Solanum lycopersicum: one gene and its partners. The protein of the gene in region 1 binds, or shares a complex with, the protein of each later gene. Links are inferred from orthologs where the notes say so. Each region holds a gene or a part of one and is shown on either strand. Other genes may lie near its edges. The genes, in order: general transcription and DNA repair factor IIH helicase subunit XPD, general transcription and DNA repair factor IIH subunit TFB4, general transcription and DNA repair factor IIH subunit TFB2 and general transcription factor IIH subunit 2.

What was found.
Region 2: general transcription and DNA repair factor IIH helicase subunit XPD (region 1) and general transcription and DNA repair factor IIH subunit TFB4 share a complex: the UniProt entries of both Arabidopsis thaliana proteins name them as parts of the 7-subunit TFIIH core complex. The link is inferred for Solanum lycopersicum from reciprocal best matches to the Arabidopsis thaliana genes UVH6 and AT1G18340.
Region 3: general transcription and DNA repair factor IIH helicase subunit XPD (region 1) and general transcription and DNA repair factor IIH subunit TFB2 share a complex: the UniProt entries of both Arabidopsis thaliana proteins name them as parts of the 7-subunit TFIIH core complex. The link is inferred for Solanum lycopersicum from reciprocal best matches to the Arabidopsis thaliana genes UVH6 and AT4G17020.
Region 4: general transcription and DNA repair factor IIH helicase subunit XPD (region 1) and general transcription factor IIH subunit 2 share a complex: the UniProt entries of both Arabidopsis thaliana proteins name them as parts of the 7-subunit TFIIH core complex. The link is inferred for Solanum lycopersicum from reciprocal best matches to the Arabidopsis thaliana genes UVH6 and GTF2H2.

The regions. Positions count from the first base shown.
Region 1 is NC_090805.1:2,932,765-2,940,490, forward strand, and holds the start of general transcription and DNA repair factor IIH helicase subunit XPD, read right to left. Parts: upstream 4,660-7,726; 5' UTR 4,512-4,659; coding exon 3,972-4,511; intron 3,056-3,971; coding exon 2,775-3,055; intron 1,926-2,774; coding exon 1,849-1,925; intron 1,755-1,848; coding exon 1,351-1,754; intron 799-1,350; coding exon 605-798; intron 432-604; coding exon 251-431; intron 113-250; coding exon 1-112. Other genes in the region: uncharacterized protein, read left to right, coding at 5,824-5,868, 6,059-6,187, 6,385-6,510, 7,491-7,726. UniProt on the Arabidopsis thaliana protein: ATP-dependent 5'-3' DNA helicase, component of the general transcription and DNA repair factor IIH (TFIIH) core complex, which is involved in general and transcription-coupled nucleotide excision repair (NER) of damaged DNA and, when complexed to CDK-activating kinase (CAK), involved in transcription by RNA polymerase II.
Region 2 is NC_090805.1:46,429,746-46,437,456, reverse strand, and holds the start of general transcription and DNA repair factor IIH subunit TFB4, read left to right. Parts: upstream 1-3,025; 5' UTR 3,026-3,109; coding exon 3,110-3,140; intron 3,141-3,243; coding exon 3,244-3,341; intron 3,342-3,450; coding exon 3,451-3,694; intron 3,695-4,048; coding exon 4,049-4,095; intron 4,096-4,825; coding exon 4,826-4,863; intron 4,864-4,938; coding exon 4,939-4,984; intron 4,985-5,145; coding exon 5,146-5,199; intron 5,200-5,303; coding exon 5,304-5,372; intron 5,373-6,205; coding exon 6,206-6,282; intron 6,283-7,012; coding exon 7,013-7,108; intron 7,109-7,711. Other genes in the region: uncharacterized protein, read right to left, coding at 546-602, 1,362-1,448, 2,000-2,074, 2,170-2,205. UniProt on the Arabidopsis thaliana protein: Component of the general transcription and DNA repair factor IIH (TFIIH) core complex, which is involved in general and transcription-coupled nucleotide excision repair (NER) of damaged DNA and, when complexed to CAK, in RNA transcription by RNA polymerase II.
Region 3 is NC_090801.1:59,305,283-59,313,029, reverse strand, and holds the start of general transcription and DNA repair factor IIH subunit TFB2, read right to left. Parts: upstream 5,225-7,747; 5' UTR 5,072-5,224; coding exon 4,959-5,071; intron 4,487-4,958; coding exon 4,319-4,486; intron 3,653-4,318; coding exon 3,584-3,652; intron 3,016-3,583; coding exon 2,922-3,015; intron 2,754-2,921; coding exon 2,653-2,753; intron 2,522-2,652; coding exon 2,473-2,521; intron 2,395-2,472; coding exon 2,335-2,394; intron 1,659-2,334; coding exon 1,590-1,658; intron 1,279-1,589; coding exon 1,195-1,278; intron 1,100-1,194; coding exon 1,016-1,099; intron 677-1,015; coding exon 591-676; exon of another isoform or gene 243-590; coding exon 152-242; intron 1-151. Other genes in the region: uncharacterized protein, read right to left, coding at 5,943-6,035, 6,308-6,450, 6,625-6,678, 6,967-7,042. UniProt on the Arabidopsis thaliana protein: Component of the general transcription and DNA repair factor IIH (TFIIH) core complex, which is involved in general and transcription-coupled nucleotide excision repair (NER) of damaged DNA and, when complexed to CAK, in RNA transcription by RNA polymerase II.
Region 4 is NC_090803.1:54,341,461-54,349,383, forward strand, and holds the start of general transcription factor IIH subunit 2, read right to left. Parts: upstream 4,027-7,923; 5' UTR 3,792-4,026; intron 2,734-3,791; exon of another isoform or gene 2,669-2,733; intron 403-2,668; 5' UTR 399-402; coding exon 138-398; intron 1-137. UniProt on the Arabidopsis thaliana protein: Component of the general transcription and DNA repair factor IIH (TFIIH) core complex, which is involved in general and transcription-coupled nucleotide excision repair (NER) of damaged DNA and, when complexed to CAK, in RNA transcription by RNA polymerase II.

The DNA of each region.
Region 1 (7,726 bases):
AGAAAACTGCACCCCTCCCACTATCACAAGCCTTGCGATAATTATCCAAAGCCAATGTAGTCTCTACAACATCTTGGGTCTCGATAAATACAAGTTTATGTTGCATTATATCCTGCATCATATAATGATGATAAGAAAAAACAACAGAGAGAAGTAGCCACATGTGTGATAAGGCATTGTTGTTAAGCTTTAAACATTCTCAATTAGTACAGAAAGTTGAGAAGAGAACAAAATAAAGGTGTAGTGACACCTTTAATATTCCTGATTCATGCCAACTGTTGACAATTCCATCCATATAAGAGTAACTGACAAAAAAACAGACAACCCCATCTGGAACAACAGAAACCATTTCTAGCAAAAGCTTCCCATAATTTTTCTCGACGCCCGGATCGCTTCTCAGGTCATACTTAGTGCTTACAGGAAGCTGATCACTGCAATTTAAGAGAAACACAAAACAGATAACATGTACTAAATTCTTCAACATAATCAAACTAAGAAACACTCAAACAGGATATATGCTCTTCTTCTCATCCACATCTTGTGAGTGGGTTGGGAGTTGAGATAGGTATAGTCATGAGAGGTCAACAGCAAGTCAAATGTTTACCTTCCCCGGGTAAGGACCATTGGGCATATGCAATCCCTTGTCAGTGACATCTTGAAGCTTCGACTTACTACCGGATTAAAATTGAGAAGACGAGGATAGAGATCAATTGGACTGAGGGTCCCCGAGGTAATCACAACAGATTGGAATCGTTCAAAAACAGGCTTTATGGCAAGAGAGGCATCGTGACAGGTAAGCTGGCAAGCCAAAATATTTCTGATGTAAGAAAATTGAGCACTAATCGTAAAGCAACTTAAAAAATTATCAATGGCAATTTAGATATCTTCCCAGTTATATGCATTTCAAAACAATATAGCAATATTTTTATGGACAGATGTGCATTACAGGAGACATGGACTATGATTAGACTAATTAGAGGCAATCATTACAAAAAGATCAATATAAAGAAGGACAAATTGATTCCCCACTCAGGTAAGAGGCATCACAATCGTAAGTGCCTTGAGAACAAATAAAAGACCAGTGCACTCGAAAATCCAACATCTGAATGGTAAAATATTTAGAAACTAATAACAATAATTTTCAATATATAGTATTTAACTCAAGACAAGTAAATGACAAAGCTAGACAAGTAAGTGTCTTGAGAAAAGACCAGTGCACTCGAAAATCCAACATCTGAATGGTAAAATATTTAGAAACTAATGACAATAATTTTCAATATATAGTATTTAACTCAAGACAAGTAAATCACAAAGCTAGACAAATATGTCCCAAGAGAAGCAAACACGCACCTGCAGGACAGGATCAGGAATATGTGGCATCCTCTCGTCATATGGTTCAATTATAATGGAAAAGCCCCGAGCGTACGTCCCTACCAACGTGGCAAGGTCACAAACAGTTTGTATATGCAGAAACTCATCTGTATCAGTAATCTCCAGGGTTAACATAAGGGAGTGAAGCCTATCATAACAAAATTTTAACATCTTTTGATCAATTCCAACTTGTGTATTAATAGAAGCAACAAAGGCAACAGGGCCTTCTTTTTCTACATTATCAGTCTCCAGACGCCCATTAAGATACTGGACAAATCTTCGCAAAACAGACAAGAAATGCTCTGCTTTCCTTATATTTCCTGGCACTGCCTCCTTCATGATGTCATCAGGCAAGGCGGGATTAGCAAGCCATACATCCTGAGCTGTACAAAGAAGATAGATGAGAAAGAAACTTGGCTTACTATCACTTGCACAAGATTAGACGTACATCGTGAACGAACACTTTAATCAACATACCGGGCAGTCTTTGAGCTAGACCCTCAACTAGACGATTATACTCAACCCGCAATCGACCAGCATCAGTAGCCTTCAGCCTTCCTACCATGCAAGATGTTAGCCAAACATGGGTATCTCACCATCCTTTTACTTTACTTCTCTTCTTTTTTCTTTACGTATTTGCCTTTACAGGGCTTGTCCAAGAGAGGGTTATAACAGATCATTACATCATATATAATAGATTGAACAATCTCCAAGGTATTTCAAATCATTTTTGACCCAGAAAACTACAGCATGAAACATAATTCAAATGCTATTAGAAAATTTATACTTCTATGCTATCAAGTAAGAATATGCAAACCATGGTTCAGCATGAAATGCTTTATAATATTTTATAATGAAAAATGTTTTACAATGTTTTGATTTGCTTATATTCCATTATTGTTTACAAAGTCTCGTGTCATCCTTGAATTAGGGAGTCAGTGATACTTACTTAGTTGAGTGAAGTTGTACTTATGCTCCTTTGAACTTTGGAGCAGTGTTGATGTTTGTGGTTGTAAATACAGGCAATGCCCTTAGAGTGCTATCTATGGAGAAATGAAGAAAGACAATAAAGAAAGAAAGGAATAAGGTACATTCTGGTGATCAGAAGGATCACCGGAGAACAGGAAAGTAGGAAATATCGAGCTAGACTATAAACTCGATATTAGTGCCTGAGAGAACTTCTTCTAACAGAGTTTTTGTTAATCCTATTTTAACTTCTTATTATATCAAAATTGATTCTTACCATGAATTCTTGAAACTAAATATATTCATTATTGGGAGAAATTTAAAACTCAAAAACGATATCTTTTGAGTCATTGTGACAAGAAGAGGTAATTGTTTTTTGCTTGGTTGTTAAAAGATTGTCATCGAAAGAAGAGGCTATTGTCACAGAAGATATTTACCTTTCAATTTCATTAGACATCCTACTGAGATTCCTTGTTGCCCCTTCAAGTGTTTGCTTCCTCACACTGACACTAAGTGCCTCAATACATACATTGTCTATATTATGGGCCTCATCAAACACTACGACACACTCTCTCTCCATCTCCTTTGATATGATACCAGCAACCTTGGGATCAAGAAGGTATTGGTAGCTGTAAACCACAACATTTGCCTGCTGCACCATATGCCTCGCCAGAAAGTACGGGCACCAGCCTTTCTCCTTACCAAACAATCTTAGCTCCTAAAAAATGCAGAAACAGCCTTAATCATGACAGTAAATGTTCTAGTGAAGAAATAGTCTTTACAACATATAACGCAGAAAAACTCTTCACCGCTGCACAATCAATTGTTTCACTATAACCCCTTATCCAACCACATTAGATTATAGGCATAATACATACACGGACACTCAAACTAAGTAAGCACTCCAACTTCGAATATGCACATCTAGTCACCTCAACTTACATCCACTGTGTCAGTTGAACACTCCAATCAACAAAATGATCATCTAAACACCTCCAAAATTTATGTGTCACGTCAACATCAGGTGTCCACGAGACACAGTAGAGACGAGTTACTCCTTCCGTTTCAAAAAGGATGGTCTAGTTTGACTTGGAACGGAGTTTAAGAAAAGAAAGAAGATTTTTTAATCTTGTGGTTCTAAATCAAAGTTATGTCAAATATACCAAAATGCCCTTTAATCTTGTGGTCTTAAACATACCACGTGGAAAGTTAAAGTTAAAGTGTTACCAAAAAAGAAAGGGATCATTCTTTTTGAAACAAACTAAAAAGGAAATATGGTCATTCTTTTTGAAACGGAAGGAGTAAATTGATTAGGTACCAGTTGAGACCAAGTTGAGATGTCAAAATATGCTCTATCAAAGTTGGTGTGCTTACTTGTTAGTTGAGGCCAAGTTTAAGTGTTTGTTTAAGTATTATGCCTAGTTTATATAATAGATGTCATTGAACCCTCCACAAGCAAAGTCAAGAACAACTAATTTATTTCCACACGAAGCAAACAAAAAAAGTTATCTTTCACTTAACTATAACCATCTAAAACATATAGAAATAATAAACCACATTCATCTAGCTAACTCCAACTAAGTTGGGATCGAGGCATAATTAATCATGCATTGATTGAAGGGTGAGAGATATACCTGCAAAGTATAAACTCCAGCAGGCAAAGTGGAAGTACCAGCCTTATCAGCAGTATCATAATTCTCATAATAGGAACAAGTAGGAATATTTGGATTTTCAACAGCAATTGCTCTAACCCAACTAGCAGTAAGTTTCCTACAACCAGCATCAACAGAATCCCTATTCTCAGCAGAAACCACAGATGGGTTCACACACAAATTCTTTCTTGATGACAACCCAATTGCCAGCATTCGAGCCCCCGGCCCGAAATGCTGTAACTGATAATTATACAACAATTTAAGCTCAGCTAATGTTTTCTCCATTTCATGTACAGTTCTTGTACAATAAAGAAGCTTAATTGGATTTGATGGTTTTGAAAGTCTGTAACTTGTAATTAAAGAAAGTAAAGCAATTGTTTTACCAGTTCCTGTAGGCATTTCAAGAAGACAATGCCCTTTTGCATCTAAAGCTCTTTTGAGTTCTAACATGTATTGATACTGTTCTGGATATATGTTATCATATGGAAAATAGATTGTTACATCTTCTAATTGGAATTTCATCTTCTGGGGTTTGCTGATTTTCTTGTTTTCTGAGTGAAAAAATTGAATCTTGGTGAGTTTTTTTTTGAAGAAAAATTGAGACCTAAGTTCTTCTTTAGACCCTAATGTTGTATAGGATTTAACAGTAAAGCGGCAAAGAGTGAGGGGTAGTTTGGGGGGGGGGGGCTCTACTATATTTGTTCCAATTATGTACACTTAAATAAGGTTTAATAATACTTGTTCCAATTTACGTGATATAAATATCTTTTTTTTTAAAATATTTCTTGGATGTGTAATACTATCTTTTGTTATTTTCTTCTACATTTGTTTTGTACCTTGTTATCTTGAAATTCTTATATTTTCTTTTTAGAAACAAGTTTATCTTAAATAGCATCTCTAATCCACAAAGATAAAAGTAAATTTTGTGTATATTTCACTCTCAAACTTTACTCGTGACGTTACATTATATATGTTGCTTTGAATTTATTTATATAATGAATATTTTAAAACACACAAAAAACCTTAAACTAAAGTTGATCGAGGACAAACAAATAGTTCAAGAGTCTAATTTATCTCACATAGAAACTGGGATAAAATAATCTCATGTTGAATAAGGCAAAAAACCTTAAATTTAAGTTGAATGAGAGCAAACATGTAGCGAACCTTAAATTCAAGATGAATGAGAACAAACATATAGATCAAGTGTTAGTTTACCTCATATAGAAATTGGGGTAAAATAATCTCACGTTAAATAAGATAAGATGCAATATCTCAAGACTAAAACTTAGATTTATATCGGGATCTAAACATATATAGAGCCTGACTAAAGTTGAATCGCGCTCTGCAGGTTGATTAAGGGTGGGCCAGTCCTAGCACTACACCACAACTCGTGTTGATAACATAATATAGATCAAAAATCAAACTTAGTCATAAGCTATCCGACCACCGTTAAAGAATGTCGTACGATGAATCGGGTTATTTCTTTTTTAACCATAAGTCTCGAATTCATGTTTTGTGTATGGAAAAATCCTCTAACAGAATCTGAATTAATCGAATTCAAATACGGATATCAACCGTCATATCAAGGACAAAAAAATTATTTAAAAAATCCCACCATGTACTACCCAAACAACCCCTTAGAAAACAAGTCAACAATATAAATGCAAAGGCAAGAAGACAACTTTGTGCAATTTATAACGTTAGTATGTGTATACTCTCCTATTTAAAGAGTACCTCATCATCAGCTCCTTCGAAACTAGCCGTTACATATTCAATTTTCTCTCTCTAAAACACACACACACTCTCTCTCTCTCTCCAAATCCAGAAAACTCAAATGACAATCTCAGTAGAATCTTCATCCCCTGCTTCCCTTAACAAGGTACTTTATTCATTAAAGATTGCAACTTTAGATTTGTTTTTATGTTATGACAAGTTCTGTTGATTCTTTAGCTTCGATTATTGTATGTTGTTGTTCATGATTGTTGTTTTTATAAAAAAAAAAACAACAATAAAGATTGCAGCTTTAGATTTGTTTTTTTTATAAAAATTGAATTTTTCCACCATTTCAGGGTTCACCAAGCTTGATGGGTTCTTCACCAATTTACAGTCCATCATCAGATAAACGATTCTGGAGTAATCTTCGCAGTAGGGTAGATACTCTTCTTGAAAACCGCGAAAATCACAACCCTGCTCAAAAGGTAAATTGGGCTTAAATTAATATTCAAGATTTGATTTTTGGTAGCTTTATTGTAGTTTGCTTTTTGCTACTATACTTGTACCTCGATTATTGTTTTGTTGTGTTAATGGTTTAACACGAGTCGAGAGTATATCAGAAACAGTGAGATTTGTTTTTGGGTCTCAATTTTTGTGTATTTACTTTGAAAATTGTTTGTAGCAGCTCGATGGAGCAGAGGATCGATCGAAGAGGATGAAGGAGGATGCTATGCTTTTACTAAGAGGATTTGATTCAGTTTCTTCCTCTCTTTCACTGTTATCTGACAATCTGGAAAATGCCCTTCAGGTATCCCTTGTTTTAATGTTTGATCAAAAGCTCATATAGGATAAAGATCTATGATTTTTCAAATGTTGGGATGCAATTTTGGTTTGTAAAATTGAGTTTTCTTACCTTAATTTGGATGAGCATTTGTGTTTGTTAATCATAACTGGTGGGCACGGAGTAGGGTAGTAAATTAGTAGGTAATAGTGTGTTGTCTCAATATCAATTTCCTTTAGTTTGATTTCTGTTACTATTTGTTGTTTCTTGTACTTTGGTTATCAGTGGCATAGTGTGGTGTCTCACTATCAATCAATTCTAGTAGTCGTAGCATTACTATTTTGTTGTAGTTACTGTTTAGAATGTTGTAGCTTTCACTTCCATTACTCCTTTTCTGGACTTGCTTCGGACTGTTTTTCCTTGAGTCAAGGGTCAATTGGAAACAACCTTTCTTACCCCCAAGGTAGAGTTAAGGTCCGTGTACACTCTACCCTCCCCAGAGCCCACTTTGTGTGTCTATACTGGGTATGTTGGTGTTGTTGTAATCATAAATAATTTGCTAGATGGGAATAAAAGAAGCACCTATCTTGTTTGTCAATTGTCATTTATGGATTTAAAATCAGTGTATATGCATATATGTAGTACATATAGGATTAGTGGTGTGAATTATCAATGGCCTCTTGTTTTAAGGAAGATAGATTAGTCAAAAAGAAGATTTGATTCGTAAATTTGAGGTCCTTTACTCAGTATAGTGCTTTCTAATCATTAATAGTTGCTAGATGAGGTTAAAAGAAGATGTTGCTCATAGATACTCTTACACTTCTGGAATGTAACATTTTGAGGCGTACATAATTCATAACGACTATATTTTGTTGAAGTTTAAGAAGTGTATTTGGGAGTATAAATGCACTGCATGATATAGTTGAAAAAAAAGCATACAAGTTGAAATTCTGTTTGCGAGTGCATACATCGAGTTATTGATCATGCATCCTGTAATTTTCATACAGGGAGCAAGGGATCTAGCAAAACCACCCACATTGACAGATATACTTCATTGCACAATGGAGAAGGCAAGTCGAGAAAACCAATCAAAGGAAGGTAAACACGAGGGAGATGAAGAAAAAGAAGAGACTGAAGAAGGAAATAAAGGATTGAAGAGGAAATTGGACGAATGTTCAGAGGATTCACAACAAGATGATGATACCAAAAAAGAAAATGGGCAGGTCTTGAAACATATTGGGAA
Region 2 (7,711 bases), about 43 Mb from region 1:
TCCCCTCAAATATTAGGAGCAACATATATTGGATGCTTATTATGTCTTAGATAAGTGCACCATAGATCTGATTGATCAAAAACAGGAAGCAGAAAGACACACTAAAGCAAAAGATCAGAGCAGCACGAAACTCCCAGTTAAAGCACCAATTATACTATTTTCGTATAAAGCAAATAGAAGAAGTGGATAGTTTGACAGCATCAAAGGAAACTCATCAAAAGATGATGAGATTAATAAGTTAAGGTCGTTATATATCAAAAAAGGAATATCAGCATCTTGGCTTTGACTTTTAAACTCATTAAAAAGAAAAGGATAGTGAGATACTGAAAAAATTTAGTTCTTAAATGCATAACATACTCAATTACTTAAAAGTGCAGCTGTTAGAGAGTTCATGCTGCAGAAAGTAGAATTAAGGGCACGGCTAGTAGCAAAGTAGACATAACTATTCACCAGAAACCGAAATAAGGAGGTTATCACAATAAACAGTGGCATTGCTTATTATAAGAAGAACAAGTAACAGTTTTGAAATACTGAAGAATGCTTACATCTGCTCTTTTGTCCACCACAATTCCAAGGACAGCATCCCCCACGGTAGGTATATACTGTAAAGAAATAACAGCGGATCAGCAAATCAAAGAAAGTTCAATTTGATATTCTTTAAAGAAAAAAGTTCAACACTTCAATTCAACCAGAAGAGACTATCCTAATTTTTATCACCGAACAAGGTTATTTCTAAAATAGTTGTATCGCAGGGTTAAATCTAGGAATTGAGTAGTCACTGATGGAATCATTAGTACTTGGCTCCTATTTGATAAGGTAGTACTATAGCTCCCTTGTTAGTCCATATTTCAAAACAATACATTTAACCTTGTAATTTCATACTTTTTTCCCTTTATAAGTTTTTTGCCGAGTTAACTAAGCAAAAGAAAAAACATAAAGGACCTCTGCAACTCTGAATTGGATATCTTCCTTTAACTCTCTAATATAGTAGCATTAACTCACTTGTGCAATAGTTGAGGACATATAAAGTTTGCAGATCCACCATAACGCACATTGGCTCATTCATTCTAGCAGTGAATCAAAATTTCAACCTAAACAGTGAATACATGCTGCTTTATTTAATTTCATATACATTCCCTTAGAGTTTCACTGTGAGAAAATCCAAAGTGCAGTTTACTATCTCTGTTTCAATCATGAGAAGATGCTGAGTTAAAGAAATAGTTTCAGGTTACTTTAAACGTATTAAAATATTAGCCAACAACCTGTAAAAAGCAACAAAACTGGAATTTTCCAATAAAATCTACAAAAAAATAACAGCAGAAGTGATACTTGGATAATTCTAGAAAGATAGCACCACTCACTCTTTTGTGTGAGCTTTCAATCCAGTACTTGTTTGGCTTTGAAAATCTCAAAATACCTGCTTTGACGACAGTTACAGCATCATGATCCTGTCAAAACGGGAAAAATATGTATAGAACCTCATATATATTTATCTTGAAGGCAGTTAGAAATTATAAACTTTTGATGCATTGCCTCCTTATACTTAGAGCCACAGTAAGTATAATGCTGAATAGAGTACTATCATCCACAGAGGAAAATAACCATATACAGGTAAAGTGCAAGAAAAGCTAGCTTTGAATACATTAGCTTTAAGTCTCTTTTTGATACATATAGAATGAGAGAAAAAGAACAAATTTTTTTTTCAAAATAGCAAGAACTATGTGCCTACAAATGTTGAGTTCTTGGTGTATCAAACAAGTAAATTGTAATAATCCAAAATCAGTGAGAGAATTAATGTATTCCCTGAATGTGAGAAGGAACTTTCTTGGTGCTCTGAACAACAAAATTCCAACTCACTTACCAGAAAGAAAAAAAAAGCAAGAACAGTGTATAAAACATAAAAAGAACCTTTTTTTAAGCTAATATTTGTATATACAAGAGCCACAAACAAAAATCTATAAACCCATGAGACAGAAATCAAAGCTCTGAGAGGAAAAACCTGTTGGAGGCCGCCACCCAGTTTAATCGTTTGGTTAGTCATGCTGGAAAGATCTAAAACAACATCACCAGGAACCTAATCAAAACCAAAAATACAATCTTTTTTGCATCAAACAATTTATACACTATAATCTGGCACAAGAAATCGAAAAAAAAAAAGTTTGTACTTACTACTGGTTTATCAATGAAGCAAGGTTTCGAACCCATTGTATTGTGTTTTTCTTGATTGAACAGAGTGTTTGTGTAAAGTCTTGGGGTTTATGTCTCAACAATGTTAAAGATTGCTAACCTAGCACCCCTTTGTTATCAACATAAATAGTTTTTATACAAAGTTATATTTTTTAAAAAATAAGGAACGAAGAAACTTCTAATTTGGGTTAGAGGAAAATAAAAAAAAATTATATTTTTTACGCAAATTATATAATGTCAATAGCTAATTATATTTCATTCTTACTATATTCAAATTACTAAAATTCCCTAAGTATAGTGGAATCCGAATACATTCCAAAGCATTTCGATACATCGTATCTATGTTTCAGATATGTTGCATCTCGATTATCTGATACATTGCTCACATCCTCATATATCACGCAAAGTGATTTATTCGACTAGTTATAATTTTTTCAAATAGTAAAAGTTTTAAATAATGTGATAAAATAAGTTGTGTATTTAATTTTCCTAAAAATAATAAGTACTCCTAGGTAGGGAAAATTAAAATAGAGAATTAAAAATAAAGGGATTTTTTTTTAAAAAAATAAAAATAATAATTTGGATTTTAGGGGAAAATTAAAATAAGAAATAATAAAGTAAAAAGTTTGGGTTTAGGGAAAATTAAAATAATATGTAAAAAAAATTGACAGCTGTGGGATTTGAACCCACGCCCTTTCGGACCAGAGCCTAAATCTGGCGCCTTAGACCACTCGGCCAAACTGTCTTTTTGTTATGATAACGATGTTTTTTTTTATTAACAATTAATTATCGAAGTCTTTTTCTGTTATGATTCAATAAAAATAAGCATTATATAAGTAAAAAGGCAAAGCCCGACAGTATATTGCATCGGCGACGCTCTCTACACCTGACCGGTGAATTAAGGTTTATTCCACCGGCGGCCATGACACCGGTTTCATCAAAGCTTTACGCAGGTCTGTCTCCTTCTCTGTCTGTGTAGCTGAAGTATGCAATAAGTACATGTTAGTGGAATAAGAGGAAAATGTGTTAAAATTAATCTCTTTTGAATACTTTCAGACGATGTGAGCCTATTGATGGTTCTGGTTGATACAAATCCCTACTTCTGGAGCTCAATGAAGAACACTGCCTTCACATTCCCTAAATTCATATCACACGTAAAGACCCCTAAAACCCAAAATTTGTTTTTTTTTTTAAAAAAAAATGAATAGTTTTGTGTTCTCCATTTGTTGAATTTTGATGCTGGAATGTATGGGGGAAATGCAGGTTCTTGCTTTCTTGAATTCGATACTTTTACTGAATCAGATGAACCAAGTAGTTGTGATTGCAACTGGGTACAATTCATGTGATTATGTATTCGATTCGTCTACCTCGTCAATGCAAAGAGCTGAGTGTTTGTTGGAGAAACTGGAGGATTTTGTGGATAAAGATGAGTCCTTGAGTCAAGAAGACTCTGTTGATGGAGTTGGGTTTTCGCTGCTTTCTGGTGCACTTTCTATGGCTTTGTGCTGTATCCTCAATCAGTTCATGTCTGTTGGTTTTTTTTATATTCTTATTGAAGTGAAATTTTAATGATTTTTATTGAGATGCAGAACCAAAATTTGGACTTGCTAGGTTTATTCTTTGAAGCTCTTAGCACTGAATTTATTGACTGTTGAAATTCTAGATACGAAATCTAATCTTTTTGGTTAGATTTTAGTTTTTCTTACTTGTGTATTCATGTTCCGTATTTGAAAATACTGAGTTTGGTTGAACCCGTAGCTATTAGCTATATCTGCCACTGGTTTTTATTTGTTATTGTGCATAGCTTTGCATTCACGTTTGTTTAGAGGAAGTGTTTCTCTTGACCTGTGTGCACTGTTAGACATTCAACGGGTATTTCGTTCAGGGCCTCTTCATCCACAACCTCGGGTAAGTTCCTTATTTTACAAGAAACTGAAAATGGGTTCTTCTGGGATTTTGAATTGATGGAATTTGTTATGAGAATTTCTACTTGTATTATTTTGTTTATCCAGTTACATTTATAGATTTTATGCTTATGTGAAATTTTCCTGGTCGATCCATTTGGGATCGTAAGCTTTAGCATTTACAAGCATAACATGTTATTATGCCAAATACCTTATCCATGGAAATATCTCTCGTCCAAGGGGAAAAAGAACTTCGAGTTTTTTCCAGTGATTTCTTTGGCCTTTTACGTTTCATGTTAATTCTGATAGTGTTTCTTAACCCCAAAGGTGCATTTAAGGGGGTTTGGTGAGGTAATACTTTAAGTTATTCTATGTTTTATGTACCTTAAACAAAACCATCAATTAAACTTCAATGTGCCCTGATTTATTTGTACTGCAATTTTTATCCAATGGTATAGTGAAACTACCATTCCCATCCTTATCAAGAAAAGAAAAAACTAGCATTCCCGATGAAATGCCATTTCTGGTCCCATTTCATTGGCAATTTCTTAATGTGATATTATCAGATATTACTACATCATTTTTGTGTTTGTTAATTTGATCATTTATCAGTAAGGTAGTTGTTAGGAAAAAAAAATCTGTCTTCTCTTGTTTTATACTTTAAAATTTGATCCGTTTTTGTTATGTTGGATATGAATATTGATGCTAAGAAAATGTGCTTGAAATTATGGCAGATATTGTGTCTGCATGGATCTCCAGATGGGCCGGGACAGTATGTTGGATCTTCACAGCTTCTACAATCTTCTCATTGTTAGGTTCTCTGCTGAAACATGTTCTTTTTTTGCAGATATGTTGCAGTCATGAATTCAATTTTCTCAGCTCAACGTTCAATGGTATATAGGATTTAACAATTCTTTCCTTCAATTTTCCTTCTTGATTAATTAGAAAGTTGTCACATGTCTTCATAAATGTAGAATTTTCAAAATTAGGGATCGGGACTTAGATTTCCATATTGTGATCCTACTCTAAGAAATGCAATGCGTTTTTATTGCAGGTACCCATTGATTCATGTGTAATAGGATCTCAGCATTCTGCTTTTCTTCAGCAGGTAGCATTTCTATACCTGAAAGTTCTGGTTGAAAATCTATTCCTTCTCAGCATGAGTTATTTTCTGGCTCACTGATCTTATGGTGCATATCTATCTGGGAACAGGCTTCTTACATAACTGGTGGTGTATATTTGAAACCCCAAGTATCAGATGGACTGTTTCAATATCTCTCTGTAAGTGTTATTAAAATTATTAATACTAAGTTGTCTCTCTTTGTCAAAAAAAATACTAAGTTGTCTCTAGCTTAGCATTTTAACTTGTCAATAGCATGGATCCAACATTGAACATCTACGGTTGTCTCCAGTGCTGCCTTCAGACATTAGTTTCTATCTGATGTGTAAGCATGTTGAACAAGTCACTATACTTTGATTTGTTTAGTGTATGCAATTTTTGTTTCCAAGGAGCTTACACTAAAAAGACCTTCCAAAAGTTTGACCTATTTTAAATCTGGTATTAAATATTTAATATATGTACTACTATTGTTGGTGTTGGAGATACAGTGATCAACCAAAAGGCTATGACTGAAAGTACCAATGTACTCTTTGTGGACTTAGAAAATCTTCTCCAAATGTCTTCTGGACTGCCGCAGTCCGATGGCTTCTCCTTTTGCCCTCTATAGTGAACTTCTCATGCTTTGTCTCTGTGAGTAGGAGATAATAATATCATGAATGAAGATGTGATTGTTGTATGACCTTATTTTCAACATTTCGTTCACGTTTCATGGAATGCAATAGACCCATTGCTAAAACCACTTCCACGACTAGAATACAGTATCTACACCAGAAGTTATATTGAAATTGATTTCTTATTCAAGATGTTCTTTCACATCAACAAGTTGCATATTTCTGTCTGATGCGGTTGGTGTACTGTGCTTTCATTCACCTGGTGTGATCTGTAAGATGGTTAAATGCCTTGTTTTATTTTTGAGATGTTTTATTTGTAGAATGTCTTGTCTTGAGATCTAATTTTCCGTTTGAAAATACTGACAAGACTGTAATAAATACAGACAGTTTTTGCGACTGATTTACATTCTCGGAGCTTCTTGCAACTTCCCAGACCTGTTGGAGTTGACTTCCGTGCATCGTAAGTGATTAGTGTGTCTATTATTCAAGTTATGTCACATATGATGAACTGGTAATATAATATTTGGTATGTATCCTCACTAATATTTTATGCACTCTTTTTGATGGTAGTATTCAACTTTTTGTATTGTCAATGTTCAAGTTCGTTGTGTTAGCTTATCTCATTCTTCTTGAATCGTCTCAAATTACCTACGAAGCTTAAGTGATTTATCCATCTAGCTCAATGTCATTTAAGAATGGTTGTACCACCTTTTCTCTTGCATTGTGAAAGCTCTTTCCTATTATACCTTTTTTTACTTCAATTAGACAAAAGCTTTCATCATCCACTCGTATTTTTGGCAGACAGAAATTCTCCTTGGATCTTCTTATTTGAGGTTGTTGTATCATCTGTTAATTTTGTCTTAACCATATCTTTCCCAACTCCCAGCTTTGAGTCATTACGAGTGTTACGAACTTGCAACTAACTTTTGAGAGTGCAGCTTTTGATAGGATACTTATCCTGAAAAAAGAAAACAATGTTTATCAAGGAGACCTATTCTCTACTAATAGCAAAAGTAGAGTATTTATTGAATTTCCTCCTATCTGGACTCAAATAAATCTGTGCTCCAATTTCCAGTCTATTCTTACAAATTCTTGGATTTAGCCCCCAATTAGTATTGGGTACTCTTCACCCCTTTACATTCCATTAAGTATAGCTGCTCATCTGATTATGTTGTGCGACTAATTTTCAGGTGCTTTTGCCATAAAAACACGATTGACATGGGTTTCATATGCTCTGTTTGTTTATCAATATTCTGCAAGCATCACAAGAAATGCTCAACTTGCGGGTGAGTATTCATTATAAACTTATTGAAGTGTCTCATTGATGAACTTCTCTTTTTTTCATTAATTATGCTGCATTAAGAATAATGTTCCGTCCAAAGAGTTCACATGAACTTGTGATCATGTCAATGTTACTGTCAGTACTGGTTACTTTTTGATCAGTTAGGAGTTCTATTGCTGTACACACAAGGAGTTGAGGTATTCTAATGAACAGCACTCTTATATTCTAATAGGGAGAGTTGCCATGATTTACATGCCCTAGCTTCATTACATCAAGGTTTTAACACTAACGCTAAAAGATAAATACATATTTTCAATCTATGTACACTTATGTTTTCATTCAAAATCTCTAGCCTTCTCACCTTCTAGACCGCCCACCAAATACGAGAAGGGAACTAGAAGTATTGGTTATTGGTTATAGTTTCATATTATTTACAAGGACAAGGGTGGCATGGACATAATAATGTGTATGCTAGTTATGTGATTTTCACTTATTTGTTTTGCGACATAATATCTGCTAGTTTTCTGGAAAGGTTGAACTCTGCACAGCAATTATAGGGATAATAGGTGCAGTTAAAAGGTCCTATTGAAAAACATAGAAGCTGAGG
Region 3 (7,747 bases), on another chromosome or scaffold:
AATATAAGCATTCCACACATCATCAAAAAAAAAATCTTCAACAAATATAGCAAGCACTCCATATACAGTTGCTTTATTAGATAGTTTTTTAGTTAGTTGTCTCTGATACAAGACAATGCTGGTCAATAAATAAATAGCAGCTGAAACTTGCCTGCTCAGAAGTAATGCCGTTTTGAAAAGCTTTATATAAACTCTCTTTATTAATAGCACCAACAATGAGATTTGGAAGCTGGTATTCCACCCTGTATTTGCAGCTAAAATTTGTTACTTAGAAATCTAACCACAAAAGTTGATGAAAGAAATCTACTACTAGAAAATATACACTCAACAGCCAAACACAGAGTATTAGGCATAACCCATGAATAATTGGACAAGTTCTTATCTCAACTCGCAAATGATACAAGTAATGCATTTCTTGGCAAGCACCAGACTAGTGTCAGATTTGATGGTATTAATTCCAACAAAAAGTAGCAACAGAGTCCAGGTAATGCTATCAAGAGGAGAGTTAGCACCTGTTCTTTCCATATGATCTCTTTTCTCAACCAAACTACAGAAAAAAACACAAGCAGCAGCAGCAAATCGTTTGGTACCTTGCAAAAAGGCGTAGGATCTCACAGTGCAATTTTGATGTTGAATATGCATACAGTCTGAAGTTTGTTTCAATAACGATAAAACCCTGATGAGTGTGGGTGGGAAGGCAAAGATGCATTTGCAGTCAGTAAGGTATCATTGAACTCGTTTCAAACTAAGCTATCTTTATTCTTACGGTTTTCTTATAAAGCAAGTGTATACAGAAATTTAGAATTTTATGCTTCCTGTCATCCAGATTTTTTTATTTATTTTTTTTCATTATCAAAAAAAATCTGGATGACAGGAAGCATAAAATTCAAAAATTTCTGTACACACTTGCTTTATAAGAAAACTGTAAGAACAAAGATAGAAAACAAATAAATAAATTGGATTTCTGTGTAACTAGACCCAACTACTCTAGGGAACACTTGCGAGTGCAGCATACCTGTTTCCTAGTAGTTGTATCCGCTAAGCTAATTGACAGGTTGGTCGCCAGTTTGGTCGGAATAAACCAACTCTCTTTCCTTCCCTAAACAGCATCAAATGGGTAATTAAGAACATAATAAAAAAGACAAATCTTTTCACTCTCGTGAGCTCATTGATGGGGCAACAAGGAGTATTCACCTGCTGCAGCTTGACCAATCCCAAATCTGAAAGGTCCTTAATTATACTTCTCTGGAGATCAGTTATTGTGTTTGTATTGTATGCCTATATCAGAAGAAAATTCAACAAACATACGAAACTTGAGCATACTGAAGAAATGAAGATTACAACTGTGTGGTTGGGAAAATGGTTGAAAGACTTCGTCACAATATTTTTCAGTTTTTCAAATATTGTTTTTTAAAGTCAAAGTACAAAACTTTCTGCAAAAACAAATTCACCACTTTTCAACCAAACATCTGAGTGCTCCAGAACCAGAACTAACTAAAATTCAAGCATTTAGAGTTCAAAAGATGGTATCATTACTACAGCTCCAGGACAAACTTAATTCAAGAAGCTCTAGAACTGTCTAATAATACCTTGCCAGTAACATGAAAGCTTAGCTCCAAAAGAAATGCAATAAGATCTGCTGAATCCACTCCTCGCTCCTGCATTAATATGAAAAATACAGAGTAATCATTTAATATCATTAAATTGTCCAAAAGTTATACAAATAGAAGTCCATACTAGACAATCCAAATAATGGTCATAGGCACAATATCTTCTCAACCAAAATCTTAAATCAAAGAAAGAATATCTTCTTGATTCTTGCTTGTATTAACTAATTTAAAGAGGTAAGGAAACAAGGAAAAAGTGCCTAAAATATGTTATCAGCAACGATAAAATCTAAGGTGGAACTAATAAGCTCAACTCAACTAGGTTCCAATCCCCAAACTAATTGGGGTTAGCTATATGATCTTGTATGAAACGCCTGTATCCAATCTGCACATTTTTTCAGTATTCAAAATAGTTTGACTATTGCTACATTCGCCACCGGTTTCCCTCAACTCTCTTCCTCTATTCAGGCTTGGGAATGCTTTCGCTTTGACGACCTTAGAGAGGCAGAGTAGGTGATATAATTATAGCAAGCTCTACAAAGGCCGAAGCTGCATCTCTGAAAATTCCTCCCTACCTATCTCCAAAGTCTATCAGAAGACTAGCCGCAAAAGTGAGGGATAAGCAAATGTCAAATGTAACTGAATTACAACACCACCCAATGAACCAATGGAGCTTGAGACACACATACACACACATGCAGGGAGAGAAGGAGGTGGTCAGCAATACCTCAGCATTTGTTATGTACTCCCTGATGATGTACCAAAGCTGTGCATTTGTGTCCATTAGCTGTAATATGCCACCAGTCAATACAATTTCCCAACAAAAAAGAACACTAATTGATTCAGATAATTCAGTAAATCGTACCAAGAATTGGAACCCACTTTCAGTCAACCTTGGAGGTTCTCTATCGTCTCTGCTTAAGAAGGCATGAACTCATGGAGATTATATCGATTATTACAAAATCATAAATACACATGAGGACAAAGAACTATACATATGTTTTCTGCGAGTAAATATATATCCATAACACTGAGGTGGACGTACCTCTGACTTAAAAGTCCACGCTGGAAGATTTTCATCATCGAAGAGCTTATGTTTGTGGTCTTTCCAGCTTCACTGGAGCTTATAAGGTTCAGCAGAAAGCACTGGTTGCGACAGTTGCAAGTCATAAAAATAGTTGCCAAAATTATATTCAGGCTGCAGTTTGATCAAGACCGAAAGAAAAGCAGATTGTCTCACAACATATTATTACACATTCTGAACGCTCCTGGAAAATCAACGGATAAGAACTACTAACAAAATGCAAGTCATACCTCCCATTGTTCGACAGCATATGCCTCTAACTCCTCCAAGCTAGGAAGCCTCACAGTGATATTAGAAGGCATTGGTTCCCTTGGTAAGACTCCACTACAGTAATTGAAATCACATATTATAGTGCAATTACAAGACCAAGGTTAAGACAGATATTTCAGCATCATGTAGAAGTATTACCACAACAAGTTACTGTATCAAGTTTAGCATCTTATAGGTCAACTGAGGGTCAAATGTATCAGGGTCAAATTCTGAACTTGAGCCCAATTAGAAATTTAGCAAGACAAATCAAGAAGTCATATAGGATGAATAAAATGGAACATATACACAAGTGTGAATATACCTACAACAACAATAATAATAATTATGCCTCAATCGATCAATCCCAAACTAGTTGCAGTCACCTACATCAATTCTCTATATTAACTCAACTCAATTTGGGCCAACTTTATTCAAATATGCAAATGAGTAAAGAAATCGTTCCTTCGAGACGGGGATTAATAGGCCATGAATCTGGTGTCTAGACGCCAAATGTCATTGACTAGTACTTCTACTAACTGTACATGTACTTTCATTTTTAGATCACCCATCTCAGAGAGGGCTGGCCAGTAGTGATCATTAACACCTACAGAGAAAATAACATAAATAAGATAATAAAGCTTACCCATAGACTATATGCTTCTGAAGATTAAATTGAAATTTTGGGTTTAGTTGATACATGGCTTCCTTTTTCCTGTAAGAAATCAAAGAGAATGGCAACGTTCAACAATCAAAAACTGACTATAACAACATGCAAAGATATTGTGGATCACCCTGACCAGATTTCGTCATTCCAATAGTTGAGACATGATTTCTACTACCTAAAACTTCTATAATGCTTATAAAGAGCAAAACTTAAAAGGAAAAAACAAAAGAAAGATCAAGCATTAACAATTCAAGATATTCCCTTTAATCATGCTTTTGCTTATTTTGACCAAAGTTCTAACTTTGCTCATGTGTATTTAAAGTGCTAAGTGAAAAACATGACAACCAGATAGGATCAAGCGGGAAAAGTAAATACAGACCTCTATATAGCATCCGCCTCCGGTTGAGGAGGAAATTTAACAACAGGCAGTGACTTTGTATTCCATTAGAGATAAAAACTCCATCTTGTAAGGGTCAAAATTCATTGATAATGTACAAGCATTATTTAATTTTGAATTGCTGAAATATGATTACTTCTGAGATTTTAAATTTAACAAGTTTATCCTCTTTTCTCACATTAAAAATTAGATTTTTTGCATCTCTTTTTTGCTTATAACAACCAAATAAAAATTTAAGTGTCAAATGTTGTTATAGGTCAGCGTTATTCAAGACAAAAATATAGCAGCTATCAAGAGAGAAGAATCTGCTCAATAACCTGTCAAATGTTTCTGTCATTACTCTCAGCTGTATCAATCTATCAATGGCAACTTTATGCTTTGAGAATCCATCTGGAAGCACCCACTCCTCCATCGACTTGGCTGTAATTGGTATGTCTATATACAACATTTGCAGCACATACTTCTTCGCTAAGGGAGGTAACGATCTAGCAGAAATGAACAAATTAAGCACATAATATAACATGTTTCAAAATAGTATCACCAAAAGTGAATTCCCTTGATATAGCTCGAGGTGAATACAGTGAGTGCTAAGTACTAGTGAATTAATCAATCTCTTGTTGCCATGGATACAAAAAAAAATATACTCCAAATACTTTCTATAAAAACAGTCAAACATTAAAAAATTTGTGCTTGTGTATGTTTATACTTGTGTCAGCACAGCACTTGCTGCTGATTAACTTCATCCATCTATGACTATAGCTTGAAGTTCATTTCTCCATAATAATAATCTTAAAGACAAAGTAAACAACTTTTGCATCCAAATGTACACAGTACATATCACTATATGCTAAAATGGTGAAATTACATCCATTTTTACAAGCAGAAATTAATCCTATAACTGGTTGTGCAGCAAGAAAAACTCTTAACATTCGATCAAATTGGGGATTTTTAGAATACCTAAGAATGGCTTCACAGATAAAGGAATTGTCGTAAAGCATGTCGAGTTTCATGACAGGCAATGAAGCCACCATGTCCATGAAATTCCTGGCGACGATCTTCACTTGCGGCATTGTTGTTATAGATCAAATAAAGGTTTTCAATACTTCAATTTCTCAATCTAGGGTTTTAGCTGTTGTTGAATGATGATGATTCTCCCCTAATTTCTGCTAATACATATTATCGCCGGATTCATAAACATTACAGAAACTGTAGATTTATGTATTGAACCCCACTCGGGCGAGCAAAGGTTCTTTTCTCTTGCTATTTGGGCCAAAAACTTTGAAGGCCCAATATGAATTGGACCGCATTTTTGGGTTCAGCGAAATACTACTTGGTATCGAAAATTAATTTTGTCATGTAGTTTCAAATTTCTCGAGTGAAACTCTATCATATTTTCATAAAAATTAAATTCTCGAATGCTTATGAAATTTCCAAATGTCGAAGCTTCTCAAACCTATTGTAAGCAAGTTGTCACTTATCTCCCAGGTAACTAATTTCTTCATTATGATTTAACATTTTAAATTAAATATTTTTTGATGGTATAAATTATGTAAATAATTTTCACATGATTAGTGTAGTTTATCCTCCGATAAAGTATTATTACCCGTCAATATTTTCATAAAAGATTTACTTACATAATTACGTTGTAATTTATAACTGCATAAATTTAAACTTTATGAGCATTATCTTCTATTAGATTGTTGTATTACAGAAAGAAAAAGTTAACACTTCTATTTGCATAATGAAGTTACAACAATAATATACTCAGTATAATCCCACAAGTGGTGTATGATTAGAATAGAATATACACAGACCTCAATTGTACCTTTGGAGGACTAGAGAAACTGTTTCCTATAGTAGAAATCCTAGCTCGTAGAATAAACTATATATAGATGCTATTCTTGCCCATTACAATTAGTTGCATTAAGAAAATCTTCAAGTTTACTTGTTTTTATCAGCTGGCTCCTCTTCTGCTAGAGTCTTGGAAGACCTGTTTGATTGGATTTTATTTACTTCCTCAGTAGGGATATCAAACTGCACAGTAAGATAAAAATAAAAACATTTGACAGCATCCAATAAAGCAAAATGGTAATAGGCTAACGTAACATCTAGAGTTAGTGAGGGTTCAGAATGAACGTGATCTTATTAATATATTACGTGTTTGGGTTCAGATGAACCTGCAACAGTACTCATCCTAGATCCGCCTCTAACCAATTGACATGAATTGCATTTTTCATAAACAGAGTGGATCTTAAGACTATGTACAGCATGTTTTCCCTGTTTTATGTACTATACAAGAAACTGACCTTGAAACCACAGCCAGCTACACAAGCGCGATGACAATCCTCAGAGTGGGTAGCAGAACCAGGGGCGCGATCAATACAAGCACTCCATTGTTGATCCTTCATAACCGGACCCTTATAGCACATCTCATCGCATTGTTCCAAACCTGCACATACCTTTTCATTTCTATTCTACCTTAAATTGAATACAGATGCATTGAGGCATTAAACGCCTTAACAACGATATGATTTCCTATATCATTTTAAAATTTGAATGTTCCTTTGTTCTACATGATACATACATCTGCAACATGAAAACCAATAAAGTTTAGGAAACTTACATTCTTCCCATGTATCGCCATCATCATCACACGCCTTTTTGCAAAAAACTCTCCCTACAAAAATTTTACTCATGATAATGTATAATTTAAAACAACAAATAAAATGCATCATTATCTATGAGTCTAAGTATAAAACAAGTCGTTATTCTAACTAATTCAAACATACACGTCTCAATCCCAGACTAGTTAGGCCCAGCTATACGAAGGCCATCTTATTCCATAATCCTACTAATTGGTTAACGGTGAATCGAATTACTTGGTACTTATAACAAGTTCAAATATTAACACAAATATAAGACCTTTAAATTACAATTGAAAGGGGGAATTAAGAGAGTAAATTACAAGGAATTTGGGTGAGGGCTGAGAATTTATTTGTGCATTGCTTGTTACAAGGTGGTGCCCATTTCTGTGGAATCATTATTTCTCTCTAATCTTTAATTTTCGTATTTTGTTTTATCTAATATCAAATTTTGCAGATTTTATTTTTTTTAAATTATGTGGAAGATGAAGATAGTGGATTTTAATCAAATAAAAAAGAATATGCAGGAAATGGGGGGAATAATCGTTGATTCGGAAATTTAGGCGACTTTGTTGTTCTTGCTTTTGTTTTACTGCATATTATTAGTTTTGAGTACAAATTATTTCACTATAGTTTTATATCAACTTTCACCCTTCTAAATACCCCTATTTTGATTTATTTTTTGATCTATTTTTTAAAAAATGTCATTTTTCTTTCTTTCTTTTTTAAATGCAATTTTGTAATTTCAAACTTTTTCACCATATACCTTTAAAATCACAATACTAAAAATTATTTTGGTACATTTTATATAGAATTTAATTTTATGCAGAAGCGGAAACTCACTTCCTTTTTTCTGTGTGAGTTTCGGAAATATCCCCATTCATAGGTCTGAGATCTACATCTATGAAGAATTGAAAGGTCCGAATGATCAACTCTGCAATCAGTTGTTAGAATCAATAGGTCTTCAAATTGTTCATTTGAAAAAATTGCAACCCTTCTTATTGGACGATCATGATACTTCCCAAAAATCAAAATTCTTGATCAATGGAGGAACAATATCACCATTTTTGTCCAATAAGATGCCAAAGTGAATGATTGACTCAT
Region 4 (7,923 bases), on another chromosome or scaffold:
TCATTTACAAACAGATAACTATAGATGCTTAAATAATTGTTTCATATTTTGCAAAAAAAAAAAAAAATTAACCTTTAAATGTCAGTAACCAATTACAATACTGCAGTTATTTTGCAATCATACAGGATTTTACATACCCTGGAGAAATCAATGATAATGTAGAGGTACCGAATCAAACCCTTCTGAATTCGTGCAGCAGTTGCAGTGCGGAGACGTCGTCGATACTGAGCATGGGATAGAGTTTTGTTGTCAATTGGACGAAGGAGTCCTGATTCATCCTCTTGTAAAGACTCCCATGATCTTTCATCTGCATAAGTTCTTTCCCATGCTTCTCGACCTCTCCCATTTTCTTCCTCATCCTCCTCTTCTTGATTAAATCTTTTTTCTTCCGTGTTCATTTCCCTGTTAGATATAATACCAACTCTTAATAAGATAACCAGATACTTGAGAAACTAATTGTACAAACTCAGTATTAGTACAAGATACTGTATGTAGGTGTTCTGAGTTCCTTGCATTACACATCCTTACTACATGCACTATTTTCCAATATGTACCTAGTCCTTTGCTATTTCTATGCTTCACTTTTCCCCCTAAGTGTGTCACGCCCCATTTTCTCGCAAAAGCGGGCTTCAACATGTGACAACTCTTTTAATGAGCTAAAGAGAAGAGTTATCACCTACTGGGTTAAGGTGTGTTAGAACACCCTAATTTTTTTAATATAATTGTGGTGTCCGGGCCAATTAATTCCATGGGATACATGTACCTCTTACCAAGAGGTACTAGGTAACGTCCACAAATGGGATGAAATCACCTTATTTTTTGTCTCTACTGGGATTTGAAGCAACGACCTTAGGGTTCTCAATCCACTTCATTCCAACACCCCTCTTGCGCATTAGGGAACCTATTACTACAACTAATTGCAAATAATTCAATTTACTAGTCTCCACAACCTGAGATCATTAAGAGTTCAAATCACCTCAAAAGAAAAGTAATAGGCATCATACAAGGTTCACAACTAGGTTCCCTACAAATTCAAACTAGGTGGGATTTAAGTGCTTAAGCTAGATAATTTTAACTGATGTAGATGATTAAAGATTCAAGTAGTTGTATTAATCTAAGTGACACAAGTAAAAATTAATGCTAGGAAGCTAGGTGTTAATGTAGAAATACGATTTGGAAAAATGAAGAGAGGAAGCTTCATTGATAAAGAAAATGCATATAATATTTGTACAAGGAAACTAGACGTAAAAAAAAACAATTGAGACTACAAAAGACAGAGGTTTTCGTTGATAAAAGGAATTTGAAAATGCTCTTCATTCTAACAAGTAAACAAAGAAACACTAACAGATTAATTCTCGCATTCATAAAATTAGAAATATTCTCGGAACTCTCTTTCCCCTACTAGATAAAAGTCAAAACTTTCACCATCCCAATGATTTTCTCAAGTCAACAAAACATACTTACAATAAGATTCCTCTAACTAAACAAAAATTAATTCCCCAACTTCAATATTTTGATAACAATTCAAAGTTCTTTGAGTAATTGCAATTAACAACCAAAAAAAACAAGGGTACGGAGAAACTTACTAGAGAAAAATACCTTGGAGGTTAGAAGATAGAGATTGATGTGGGATTGAGTGAATCCGCACTTTGTTTTGAACCAATTCTTGATGAACCCTATGTACTTGAGTTGTGACTTTTACACTCTCATTGAATTTCCTCTACTATTTATATGTAGTGTGTTTTCTTTGTTTTCATTTATTTAGTATGTTATGTATTAAAAAATTGTACTATAAATAAAGATTTTCTCGATTTATATTTAAAGTTTTCAATTTGTTTTATTTTTCTTTTTCGTATGTTATGTGTTTAGAAATTACAAAAGACATAGTATTATAAATGATGATAATAATTAATAATTTGAAATTTAAATCAATTGACTCTTTAAATTTCACTTGTACCACATAAACTGAGACAAATTTATATATATTATTTGTAAATTACATAAAAAAAATTATAAATTACAACAATTAAACAACTTATAACATTTAAAACTCACATAAAAATTTATTGAGATAAATAAAGTTATGTATATTTAATTTGTGCTTGCACAATTGAACGGGCTCTTTGTAACTAGTCTATATCATAAGAGTGAATAGAGAGGATCTTGAGGTCAAAAGGCTTATTTGGGAATTTACAGAATTTATGGACCAATTGAATTTTTCATGGTATCTTCTTTAAATCAGTGTTTTCAAAGGCATTTTTGTGACAAGTATTTGAGTGTTCAAGAAATGCTTTGAGGCGCAAATTAGGAGTTTACATGGTATGGTATATATCAAAATATCATACTATATCAAAATTTTTAATATCATGATTTTGATATCATTGTATATTGATATATCTTTTAATTTTTTTGTATTTGATATTTAAAATATCATATCGGTACTTATGCTTAACAAACACATTATTCCTAAATTAAAATTTGAGATCAACACTAGATGGATACAAACTGATCTTGCAAAAAAAAAAGAAAATAGAATCAACTAATGTTAGTGCTTATGCTTAACAAACACATTATTCTTAAATTAAAGCTTAATATCAACACTAGATGGACACAAACACATCATAAAAAACAATTGTACTTGAACTTTAGAAATTTAGAAACACCAAACCTTATAATTAAAGTAGCAATATAGTCTTGTATCAACTTTTTTAGACGTTGAGTTTCCTTAGTTGCCTACCACGAAAAGAAACAATTGAAAATTTCTTTAGTGGTCATTATAGAGAGATTTTAGTGATTATTAGCGTTTGACAGTTAGTAAACAAGTTTGTGTTGTTTTTTCTTTTTCTTGATAACTCAAAATAGGTTTCTCCTATTTTCAATACTTCCTCTCTTTTTTCCACTAGTTATTGTAATGTATATGTTACCATGATTGTGTCCGGGGTTAAGAAACCAAGAATTCCAACAAGAATGTTCAAATTTTAATGTATATAAACAACAACCAAACTGTAGTTGTAACTTTAGTCTCTTCATATTGCATCAAATTTCAGATTATTACATTTAGACTGTAGTTGATTCAACTGGATGCTATACTTTACTAGAAGCAATACTAATGCAATTGAAGTATGTAGTCAAATCCATTCAGTGCTTTAGTCTGAGTTTACAACACCTTGAAGTATTTGCAGACTCCTTTATTCCATGCACAAACACAAGTTTTCAGTTCATAGTTGTACATATATGAGATCTCTAAAGTACAATCAGTATTATAAATCAATATTGACATCAAATTGTAAGGCATACACATGTTATTGGTATATCTGTCCAATATTGGGAAGGTAGAATTGTATATGATGATATGGGAATGTGTTGTATTGGTTAGTTTATTAGAGCAACTGAAACATAGATAATATGTAACAACAGCATACTGGTTTAGACACAAATTCAACATGCACTTAACATTCTCTTACCGTTTTCAATATATTGACTGTCCAACTTGCCAAAATCTACATCCTTATGGGGAAAGTTTGGCACTTGACAGTAAATCAAAGAGAACATGTCAACAACCAAACTCAATTGAACACATTAAAGTGTTCAAATTTTAATGTGTATAAACTCAATCGAAGGATCCACATTGAACAACAACCAAACTCAATTAAATGACCCCTTCAATCTGTCCAACCCAACCTATTGATGACACTTATTTTTTGATTTTATTCAAACGCCAGTTATACATACTACTAATAATATAATCCAACCCTATAAAAAGATACAATAGAAGAGCTTGATTACATTACCTAATCTGCCGGAGTTTGTGCTGCTACCAGAGTTTTCTGTTGCTGCTGCCGAAGTTTGCTGCTGCTGCTGCGACTTGCTGACGATCGAGTCAGGGAAGGTAGCGCGACCTCCTGCTGCTGCTGATCGAGGCAGCGCCGGTCGGGGTTGGGTCGAGTATGGGTGGGCGTGAGAGAGGTTTAGAAGGGAAAGAGAGACTTAAAACTTAAAAGGTTTTTTTTTTAGAGATTATCATTCTTTTTTAAAATAATTATTTATATTTATAAACATTTTATTCCAAATAAATATGGACATAATGAAGTTGATATTTTTTTTTTTAGAGATTATCATTCTTTTTTAAAATAATTATTTATATTTATAAACATTTTATTCCAAATAAATATGGACATAATGAAGTTGATATTATTTAAATAAAATAATAATTAAACATATCAATTTTAATATAAACTCACCTTAAGAGGTCGAATATATTAATTAAAATTATATATATTTATAATAAATTTAATTTAACTACATCAACGTAAATTTAATGTTATAAATTTAAATTATATATCTTTTAATTATATAAATTTAATTTTATCGATTGATAGAAGTTTATCGATATCAATATATAAATCTCCTTAAATTGAACATCGATATCTCTTCTTTAATTGATAACATATTTCATATCTGAACCACTAATCTATAAGACTTGATTTGTTAAACTACTCAAGGAGTATATAATTAATGTATTTCACACTACGAAGAATTATCTTTTACATGTCCATATTCTACGATATGGTCACTACACTTAACAACCATTCAAGATCGAACATAATAATCTTAATCGAACTTGCTTTGTACAATGATACACGGTGTTTTATAATCTGTTTCATAAAACGAGAGAAGACATTGAAGGTTATACGTACAAATAATTAAACAACTAATTATAAATATAAAATTAATAAATAGTTATCATGACGTTTCTACAAGTATTATCTCGCATTTATACTCGAATAGATTATAGGTTGGTTCTTCACTTCTACATGATTATATGAGTGTCTCCAATGAAATTTGTCCTAATTCGGATCCACTACAATCTATGTCTATATATTGGAGGCATTTGAACTATCTTCTATCCTCTTCTCACTACTACCTTCAATGGAGAGGTCGATTTCTCGGACCATAGAGAAAATTGCAAATTTGAGAATCTAAAAAATGCAAAATGCAAATTTGGTTGCTGCATGTGATGGATTTCACTCCAAGGCAGCACCTTCTCTTCATCCTCCATGGAAGTTCAAGCTCAAAGACGACCAACTCTTTTGGTTGTTCATTTCTGTATTTTGATTTTGGACAAAGTAGTTTGTTTTGGGACAAGATCATGACATGATATGTTTGTTCCTTTTATTTCTAATAAATGGTCCCTGCTTTGATCATTTGACGACAAACTGAGAGAATTTGTACATTACTTTCTAAATATAAGTATAACTATTTGCTAATTCATATCAACCTAATTTTATACTCTAAATATGAATTATCGATGTTATCTTGTTTATTCCACAAATTCTAACTTTTTATTCAAAAGTATACAAAATTGTTATACTTTTTCAAACAATTAGTTGAAGGTGTAAGATGAAAATTTAGTATTACGTACAATAGCAAAATTATGATTACTAGAAATATATTAAACAAACCAACCTATGGATATCGCTTTTATTAAAAGTAATTAGATTCAATAAAAAATACATACCTCATGATATCAATATCACATCAAATTTTAAGATTAATAAGAAATCTCATGTTAATTAAACAATATTGACATTAGAAAGTCGGTATTATATGTTAATTTATTTTTTAACTTATCTAAAACCATCATCCGGAGGACGATTTATTTAAAGTTAATTGAAAATATTAATTCATTAACTTCTAGAAATTATTATAATATTTTAATGAAAATCAATTTAATTACATACTATTTAGTTTTTCCGTCTTTCGTAAGTCGATATTATATTTTTTTTTATTTTTAATTTACACAAATCGCCCTCCGGATGGCGATTTAAATAAAATTAATTCAAAATATTTCTCAGTTTTGTGTTTTATATTTTATTGAAAAAAAATTATTATTTATTTATTTATATTTAGTACCGACATCAAGAGCACAGTTTTATTGCAACTCATTTTTTCGGGAAAAAAGAGGTCAGTCTTTGATTTTCCCGCTTTATTTTGCATAAAAATCGACTCCGTGTAGTCAATTTTTTAAAGTTGTTTTTATTCTTTTTAACAATACCGACCTCCAGAGGTCGGAAATAACCGACTTGCATTTGAGGTCAGTTGGTTTTAGGTCGGTATTCACAATCACACACGAAATCAAATTTCAATATATCAAATCATACTGAATTAAATTGATATGTAATATTATAATGTTTTTAAAAATCAAATATCAAAATTACAGTATTAAAACTTTAAAATACTGCATCATACCATGCCAACCCTTATTGCAAGTTTAAAGAGTAGATTTATAAGGCATATGTCCTAGATGAGTATAATATATTTTTTTATATTAATGATAATTTCATAAAATTTATTTTTAGAACTGTTGAATGTTTTACTTTTATATATTTTCTTAATAATAAAATTATAAAATTGGACATCATAAAATATATGGCATGTAGATTTATAAAATATATATCTGTATCACAAGACTTATTCCTCACCCCATGTTGTATAAAACGTTTGTAACGATCCGCTAGGTTGCTTTGAGAAATATAACTATTTTAACTCTTTTGTGAATTAAAATTGGTAACTTTAGGCTGTTCATTTAACTAAGACTATTTAGTTAACAAATAGATTCTAAATATGCAATTTAATTGGTGGTTAATGGGTCAACTCTATAATTTATTTACGGAAAAAAATTTAAAATGTCAATATTTTAGCATGTAATAAAACTTCTTAGCAACACTTTCAATATTTATTTAAAATGTCAATATTTTAATTTGTTATGTATCTGATTTCTATTTTTATTATTTGTTTTAATTGAAAGAATACAATTATTTAATAACAAAAGGAGTAATTTAGGGGAAAAATTATTTTAAAAAATGAACATATTTACTTAAAATTCTCATCAGCTACGAATCCAAAAGTAAACTACATGGCATTGTCCCCCTTGTTGATCAAAAATCCAAAAAGCAATTTGGTATACATATTGGAGCGAATACAAACTGATAAAGAAATACAAGTTTCATTATATAAAATATAACATGAAAACTAGAATGAATAAACATACAAGTTTGATGTTCAAGAAGTTGTATTTTCTTATTTTGATTTCGCTGTTATAAATGAAGTACATGTAATTTTTCTTTTGTTGGTGATATCCATATTTCGAACTGGGGGAGGATTTCGCATGCGGATAGGGTTATGTAGATGCTCAGATATGCTCTATAAGATCTCTTTATCTATTTGAACTTCAACTTGTTCATCAACATCTTCAACACCCATAATTCTTCTTCTTTTTGGACTGCTCTATAGCGCATGGTGAAGAACACATGAGAGAGAGAAAGAGAGAGATTTCACATGGTGAAGAATGCATGAGAGAGAGAAAAAAAGAGAGATTTGGAGTACAAAAACCCTAGAGGGAGAGGAAGTTGATAATGCTTAGTGTGATAGTGGAGTCAAAATGGACTCAAATGTGGGATTGATTTGAGAAATAAAAGGAAAGAAAATTAAATGTATTAAGATATATTTTATTTACATAAATATTGACGTATTGATGTTTTAAATAATTCTTTTAAAATGTAGATATTTTTAATAATTATATTAGGAATTTTGACTAGTTTACTAATTTTCCATTCACTTAATATCCTAATCCCTTGGCCCGTGTATGAATTAAAATTAGAGTTAAAGGGGATGTAAAATTAATCAATGGAAACTCACAATCCTCTTTGGCATCAAATTACGAATAGCAAGAGGAATATGTGATTACTCTGCCTTCAGGTAAGATTTTTGGCTAAGTCTTTCAATGATCAGATTGATTTATGGTTTAATACTCTCTTTATTAATGTTATCTTTTTATAGTTGTTGATGAAGAAAATCAATTAATACCATTACTTTTGTCTACTAATAATCAACCACTGTGTGGTCACTTCTTTTAGGGTGGAA